Tribolium castaneum: one gene and its partner. The protein of the gene in region 2 interacts with the protein of the main gene of each other region in a pairwise test. Links are inferred from orthologs where the notes say so. Each region holds a gene or a part of one and is shown on either strand. Other genes may lie near its edges.

The links.
Region 1: the proteins of hpo (region 2) and ex interact in a two-hybrid assay, tested with the Drosophila melanogaster proteins (2 studies listed by BioGRID). The link is inferred for Tribolium castaneum from reciprocal best matches to the Drosophila melanogaster genes hpo and ex.

What each region holds. Positions count from the first base shown.
Region 1 is NC_087395.1:21,723,529-21,727,769, reverse strand, and holds the start of ex (protein expanded), read right to left. Parts: upstream 2,811-4,241; 5' UTR 2,591-2,810; intron 1-2,590. UniProt on the Drosophila melanogaster protein: Activates the Hippo/SWH (Sav/Wts/Hpo) signaling pathway, a signaling pathway that plays a pivotal role in organ size control and tumor suppression by restricting proliferation and promoting apoptosis.
Region 2 is NC_087403.1:7,370,072-7,374,232, forward strand, and holds the start of hpo (serine/threonine-protein kinase 3), read right to left. Parts: upstream 2,806-4,161; 5' UTR 2,660-2,805; coding exon 2,646-2,659; intron 2,518-2,645; coding exon 1,997-2,517; intron 1,946-1,996; coding exon 1,658-1,945; intron 1,612-1,657; coding exon 1,478-1,611; intron 1,431-1,477; coding exon 1,265-1,430; intron 1-1,264. UniProt on the Drosophila melanogaster protein: Plays a key role in the Hippo/SWH (Sav/Wts/Hpo) signaling pathway, a signaling pathway that plays a pivotal role in organ size control and tumor suppression by restricting proliferation and promoting apoptosis.

The DNA of each region.
Region 1 (4,241 bases), on a different chromosome or scaffold from region 2:
GTTGGTTTTTGAAGCCACACGAGAATGGCAACTGATGCCGTTTTGGTGATGGGATGAAATTCCACGCAAAAAACGGTACTCTGGGAAAATTCCTCACCGAAATGTGAAAAAAACCATTGTAATTTTTGTCTAACAATAACATATCAGCGACTGGAAAAATATTTACAATTACAATATCGAAGTTGAAGAAGAATCTGATACTAATATTTTTATTAAAAAAACACTATTTTAATAATAATTTCGTCCTTAAAAGTACAAACCTAGGAATTTATTTTAATTGTCAGCCACATTAGTGATTTGGGTTATAATCTGTCACAGAAATTATTTTAGCTACTTTTCACAATTTTCGCATATCTTTACGGGTATTTAATTTTTTTGCAAATTGAACTAAACTAGCAATAAATTAAAGCGCGTTTTCCAAAAGATTGCAATTTTTTTCATATTGTATACGCAAAGGATAATTTAAATTAGGAAAAAAAAACGATTGGAAACTTATACCGACACTAGATCTAATTCTAAGATCTAAGATTTAAATAAATAAAAATGCACACTATTGCAAAAATTAAACTAAATTTAAAAAATTAAGCCAGAAAATATACATGTTTCAATTGAAACCAAAAACACAAAAGCCAGCATTCCATGAAAACCTTTTTTCATTTTGACTCTTTATAAAATTTTCGTGTTTTTTTGTTAAGAAAAAACTAAAAATGGGAATAAGAAAATTAATTTTTTTCTTATAAAATAATGTTCATTGGTTGCACAGCATTGCAAAATACTTGTACCTATAACTCCCTTGGAAACGTATAAACACACTGTATGTACAAGATTTCTGCCTTCAAAAGCACTAACAAGTTAAGAAGATTCAAAATATAAGAATAACATAAACTCTGAAAGAATGGTTTTTAATTAACTGATAAATTCCTTAAGGAAGAATAAGGATAATTGTTTTCTTGTTCCTTCGCCCCTTCTTGAATATTTTTTAAAAATTAAGGCCCTTTTTATTACTCTGTAATCATTTATGAAGGATGTACCGAGCAAATATTAGATTAACCATTAATTAAGCTTTAAAAAAATGTTTTAAACGTTTCTTAGTGAGTTTATTAGCCACCAAAAGTTACCCTAAAAATATTGTCTTTAAAAATACCTATCCAACTTTTATAAAATTTGGCATGCAGTGGTTTTTTTAATAATCATTTAACAGTGAAAATTGTAATCAATTTATTTGTAAAGTGAAACCTCTGAAAAACGGACACCTCTCCACAACGGACAATTAAAAATTCCCCATCGGTGTCCGTTGTTCAGAGGTTTTACTGTAATGCGTCATCTATGGTTAAAATATTTATACACTTACTCCTAAGACATCTATTCTATTATTATTATTATTTATTTATATTTATATTTTTTTATTATTTATTATTATTTCAATTATTAAAAAAAAGTGAATACATATCGCTTGAGGGTTTGGCTATACAACAAATTGATTTGTAAAATCGCTAATATTTGTTAAATAAATTAACATTTTCTATTTTTGATCGTATTAACTTAAACTAATTATTTACTGCTAACACGGCAAGCAATTTTTGAGTCTAGATTCTGGGATTTATGCTTTTGGTATGCAAAAAAAAAACACATTGGACTCGCCTCTTGTTTTTCTTTGGTCAATTAATGAAATTTTAATTTAGTACATTTAAAAAAAATGCGCGTAAATTTGAGCGTACGACGAAATAATATCATCTCAATATTTCAAAATATTTACAAAATCGTAATTTATTATTATTGCCACAAATGAATTGTTCATAGGTGACAGAACAATAAATCCGCCTCCTACTATGACTCAAACGATAACTGAATGAGTAAACTTTGTAGGAAGTAAGTGTAACACGAAAATTTCGCTCAAAAGCAAATAACATGTATAGAGATAACGCAGAGCGATAACTCAAACATTTGATTGATTTTTTACAAGACCATCAAACTGCAATTATTGCAATCAGGTGTAAAGGCCGTTTAATGCAATAGTTGTGTCGACCAATCTTAGATAAAGGCTTTTGTTTGAAATTTTGTTTACACTCAAGTTAGGCATTATTACTACTAAAACCCCACCCTACCGACTGCGCCAATTAAGCTTGTGTAACAAAAATTTAAAAAAATCCGAAATTATTCTACTTATTGTTGTTCCGACTTTTGGTTTTGTGCCTTTTTGACCTTTAATAACGCACTCGCACCTGTTCATAGAGCATGAGAAAAGTTTTCAAATAACAACCCACTTTGTTTTGGTGTAGACTTTTTGTCAGTTGGACTGTGAAGGTAAAAACTCAAAATAGGAACGCGTTTTGATTGTTTACTCCTCCCACACTTTTAACCGCATTACTTTGTAAAGCCGTAATTTTATTATGTGATTAAAAAAGCGCTCGGATGAAATAATCCGTGTCCATCCATGCGAGAGGCGCGTTAATCTGTGATGGGCACGACTCATTATAAAGAAATTTCACTGTAAATCGGCGTCAGTGTAAATTGAAGCAATGCTCTGATCGCTGACACAGTTCCTTGGAATTTGGGCAAATAAGCGCGCGTTCTGTGAAAGAATCCTCACCATGTGCCGAAAGAAAAATCCGAAAAACCGTCCCTCCGCAGCCCCATTCCGGCGCAATTCCCAATTCGGGTGAATTCACAACACAGAGCACCCACAGGCACCACACACGTGCTTTCGCAGAGCCAGAGAGCGCCGTCTCTATCAACCGGCAAAGGTGTTCTTCGACTAAATTCCCTATTTCAACTCTGGAGCGGTCAGGTACACTCCGCGGCAAAACATCGCTGGAATGCGCCCGCCCAGTCCGGTTCTGCGCGCGGAAGCGGCCCGTTCGGGGGGCACCTCCACGCGCTGCCAGGGCCGCTGGGCGGACACTCCGCGCAGCCAACTTAGTGGTACCGCGGCCCAGCGCGGACGCGGTACCACCGCGCCTTGGGACTGTACCCAGCTCAGGTGTGTTTGGTACCCGTCTAGAGGTTACATTCCTCGAGCAGCGCGGCATTCCTCATGGGAAATTGCCGATAGCCTCCTTCGGGGGGCGATCGCGTGGTGCGCTTACAGAAATTTTGGGATGGTTGCTTCCGAAATTTTTTGACCAACACCAAGCCCACGCGAAAAATGCGCACAGGAAAAAGCCCACAAACATAAATACCCAGAAGAAAAAAGCTCACAAAGAAAAAAGCCCACGTCGAAAAAACTCACACGGAAAAAGCTCACAGTAAAAAAAACAACCGAAAAAAGCTCACATCCTTGATTTTAAATTTTAAAACGTAATTAATTTTCAATTTATGAAGTAGGTATCTTTCTAACTTTACTTTTTATCACCTCTTGCTGAGGATGGTTTAATTAAATAATCCGAAACTAGTCGCCGGTTGAATCGCCTTTGTCATTAATTCCTATGTTATAAATAAAACTGAGTTGACATTGCCCAAAAAATGTTTGCACCAAATCAAAAATTTTCTAATTATTTAACAGATAGTGATAAGATAGATAGTGATAAGAATTAAAAAAAAATACACAAGTTCAGTTTTTCAACTACTTCAAATCATCGCTTTCTATTTTTGGTGGAAATGTTGTATACTTTCTGAAATATTTAGGGCCTTTTTATAGAAAGCTCAGTTAAAGTTAATTTCGCTGTTAGAAGTTAACAGAGCGAATGGACCAATCGGATTGGTTCAATTTGGTCACGTGACCAGTTAATCATGCATTAAATTAATGACGCTTTTAGAGAAGAAATTTTTTTCGAAAAAGTAGATAGGGTGCTATTTAACATTGTAAAACTGGGGACGGTCAGGGGCGGATCCTGAAAATAATTTGGAGGGGGGGGCTTCCAAAAATTTTTAGAATGGTGAAGCTATTGACTGTCGGTATGTTAAAAAATATTTAAATAAATTTGTATCAAAGTTAATCCCAAAAAACTTTTTAGCCAAAAAATGTTACAGTGCAAATTTATATATTTTTCTAAATAAAACACCCCATATTTTGCGCATTTCTGGATATACATAGTTGTTCAATATGTTTTTTACTAGTAGATTTTGCTTATTATTTAAAATGATTGACTAAAATACACTCTTTATTTTAAACTACAACATAAAATACAACAGCCATGCAATGTTAATTTACATACAATTGTTTAAGTTTAAATAATAAAATTTCTGGACGCAAAAAGTACTTGTAAGCAACTTCCTTTTTTTCAAGAATATCTATTTCTATA
Region 2 (4,161 bases):
GGTTATTTCGATCCGTTTATTTACGAAGTAGAAGAAGTAGAAGTAGAGTAGAAGTAGAAGTAGAAGAAGTAGCAATTTCTAAGAAATATTTTGACATTTTGTCGTTTATACCGATAAATGCTCATATTTTTTTACACAAAATTACAAAATACGATTGATTTAAAATAAAAAAATCAAGTTCTAATTATTTTGTGTTATTGAAGTTTTGTTATTGCATTATTAAAATACCACTTAGTCGTTTACAGTTTCACTAAAAAACAAAAAAAAACATGAGAAATGTTATAATAACTGATAATCTCCGTTTTTTCCTTGAATAGAGACAGCATTCAACAGTCAATTTTCCTCTAGACGGCAAATGTAAAATAAAAACTTTTGAAAAAAATATCCTGTAAACTTCATTTGCTGAACCAATAACCTTTTTTTTATTTTGTTATAAGTTACGATAAAGATTAGACAAAAATAAAATAACATATCTCAATTAGATTTTCTTCTGCTTATTTTGAAAAATGAAAAGGTGGAAGTCATTATTTCGTACGTTAATGCAGTGAAAACTTTGGTAGATCTACTTTATCTTACCTTTACTTATTTACTATTCTTAAGAACACTGTTACAGACTTACCAAGTTTTATTAATACCTTACCTTATTAGATAATAATTAAGCTGCTAATGTTTTCTGTTATTCAATTCCATATTTACGTTATAAAATTATTAAATAAGTCAGTTTTATTTCCAAAAATCGTAGGAAATTTGGCGGTGACTGTCACTATTAAAGCTCTTACAATTTAGTTTTATTTTGTGGTGGGCGAATTAGGAAAAGCAAAATGCTACCAAATATGTTTCATGTTTAAAGATTACAGAGAAACACTTGTATGTTTCCACAAATATTATTTTTGAAATTAAGTTTAATTTTCCGATTGCCGGTTAATCAATAAGAGGAACACTTTTTTCTTATTTGGTATAACCCCGATAGGTGGCGCTCTTTGCTACCTTTATCTCACCATCTTGGTATAACTTGGTCCAAAAAAATGGTCAGGCTGTTATTTCAATCCTTTGTAAAAAGTAGCAATTTTCAGGACATATTTTAACAGTTTACCTTTTATACCGATAAATTTAGACATTTTTTACATGAAATTACAAAATATGATTGATTTAGAGCCAAAAGCTACTTTTAATTGAGTCATTATTTAGTTTTTAAAATGCTCACACGCTCAATTTTTTTTATCAGATAAATTTAAGATCTTTGTGTGCAATTAATTGAACTTACGTTTCATGGTTTGTTCGTCAACGTCACTGTTGATAACCATGGTTCCAAGCTCTACTAAAGTACCACTCTGTGATACTGGCAGTAAAGTGCCACCTTTGCCGGGTACCAAGGTGCCTTCATCTGTACAAGGAAGAATAGTCTGATTGCCTAAAGCTACTTCATCATCCTGTTGAAGAATCGGTTAAAAGTTTCAATTTTTGTTGTCAAACTTACTGATTCTTCAGTGATGTTCTGCCTAACGCCTACAATGTTAGCAGCAGAGGATACATTCCTATAACTTTGGTTTTCTCTAATTTCGTGTGCTTCTTGAATCATTTGGCTTAGAATACTAGGGAGCTTAGCATTACCTAAAACAAGGTTAGAGTGACTTGAACTGCGGGAATGTGCTAATACCTATAAATACATGACTGAGTAAATCAGTGGCACTCGCCCTTTCCTCGGGATTTTTAACAAGACAAACGCTAACAAAGTCGATAAATTCGGGCGACCACTTGTCAGGCTCCCGGAACGAAGGGGGCGGCTTGGTTGGGATCATGAATATTGCTCTCATGGGGTGAATATCACCATAGGGTGGTTTACCCTCGGCCATCTCAAGGGCCGTAATTCCTAAACTCCAAATATCAGCAACACAGTCGTATCCTATTTCTTGTATAACTTCGGGAGCCATCCAAAAAGGGGTTCCTGTAACAAAACGTGAAAAAACGCGGCCATTGTGGCGCGATTATGTTCTACCAATCACAGTGTTTCTTTTCGCCATGGTGTCCGTCAGTTGCCCGGCAACGCCGAAATCAGCCAACTTCGCGTGGCCCTCTGAATTGAGTAAAATGTTACCGGCCTTAATATCCCGGTGGATTTTCCGACGCAAATGCAGGTATTCTAGGCCTTTGAGGGTGTCGGACAAAATCGTGGCGATCTCGTCCTCCGTGAGGGTCTTTTTGCGCAGCCTCATGATGTCGGAGACGGAGCCGGCCCCACAGTACTCCATGACAATCCACAGATCAGTGTTCTTGAAATAACTCCCGTAATACTTAACGACGTAGGGGCTGTCGCACTGTTGCATGATTGAGATTTCTTTGATGATTTCTTGAAGATCGGTATCCACAGGTACTTGTTTAATTGCTAATACTTGGCCAGATTCCTTGTGGAGTGCTTTGTAAACACTCCCGTAAGATCCCTCCCCCAGCTTGCATATTATATCGAAAACTTCCTCCGGCTGACGAGTCAAACTCTCCTCAGACAGTTTCTTCAATTCACTAAAACATTCAAAGGCTTAGAGGGCTAATTCGAGCTTTTCGATGACTTCAAAAATAAGAAAAATAGGTTAACTTTTAGACTGACAAGGCTCGTGCGGGCGAACTGTTGGACAATTTACGAAACTTACCTCTTGGAAGACATTTTATTTATTACAAATCACACGTAAGACCAAACACACTACACATCTTTAATTGGAACTTATCTAGAAATTATATGTTCTTGTAATCAAAATCTCCATGTTGAATACAGTCAAATGTTGCGAGTCTGCCGGGTCTAGTACGCAGGCGCGGATTACGAAGAGAATGTTCTTGGACGAGAATGAGAATTCTTCACTGTTTTTTTAATAAATAAATCTTGCAATATGGTAACAACTAATATCATATTTTTTCTAATTAGTACACGTTAGACGAGATGTTTACCTATCTTTTATATAAGTGGGAAGGTTCCTTCAGTATCCTCCGAGAAGTGTCTCCACCTATATCACCAAATCTAGTGACTTTCATCTGTTGATTTTTGGAAAATCGAGTATTTCCCCGAACGCAATTTTTTCATTTCAATACTTTTTGGCCGATATAAGCACGACATTTGTCCATTCAAGAGTTTTTATTGAAGTTTTGATTTTACTTCCTCTCAGTCTTCATTTTTCAAAATATTTTTATAGAGTATAATCGGATTCACAAATGTTTTAATAATAACAGAGAAACTCTGTATATTTTTATAAATATTATTTTAGAAAGTTATATTGTAGAAACGTATTAAATTAAAAAAAATGTTTTCCACATTTTCTTTGATATAACCTGGTTAAAAAGTTTAACAGATAATATTTTAAGGTTTTGCACTTTATATCGATAGATTTATTGGTTTCTCATCACAAAATATATGACTAATTTTGCAATTATTATTTTGATTTAAACAACTTACAAAATTTTGTTTCTGAAAAACGATACATTTTATTAATTGAGTTAATTAAGCTAGATTCATAATTCATCAGTTTTTATAATATTTTACACCGAAATTGCTCATCAAACACGTGCGGATTTTTTTCATTGATAGGTAAATTTTGCAAAGTAATGGCACATTTTCCAAGAAAACAAGTTTATTTAGTTCAACTTATACACAGAATTTAGCCGTTTATAATTTCAGAAAAAAAAACGAGAAATAATGTAATAATAACAACAGATAATCACTGTTTTTTTCCTTGAATAGAGACAGAGTAGTAGTTTAAAGCAGTAGTTAACAGTTGATGACAAATGTAAAATACAAATTTAAAAAAAAACTTGTTTTCCCCTGTAATTTTTATTTGCTGCAGCAATAACCTTTGTAGGGATTTTTTTTAAATTTCGCTATAAGTTGCGATAAAGATTAGACAAAAATAAAACAACTCAATAAGATTTTCTTCTGTTTATCTTGAGAGATGAAAATGTGGAAATCTTATTATTTAGCAAGTTTTGCAACGAAAACTTTGCTAATTCTTTTACATTACCTTCACCTATTTACTATTTTTGAAAATACTATTACGAAATTATCCATTTTTTTTGTTAATATTTAAATAATATGATTAATGTAAGCTGATTATGCCAAATCAAGTCAACTTGATTTAAATAATCGAGTATTTCCCCGAATATTTAACAGTCGAAACAATA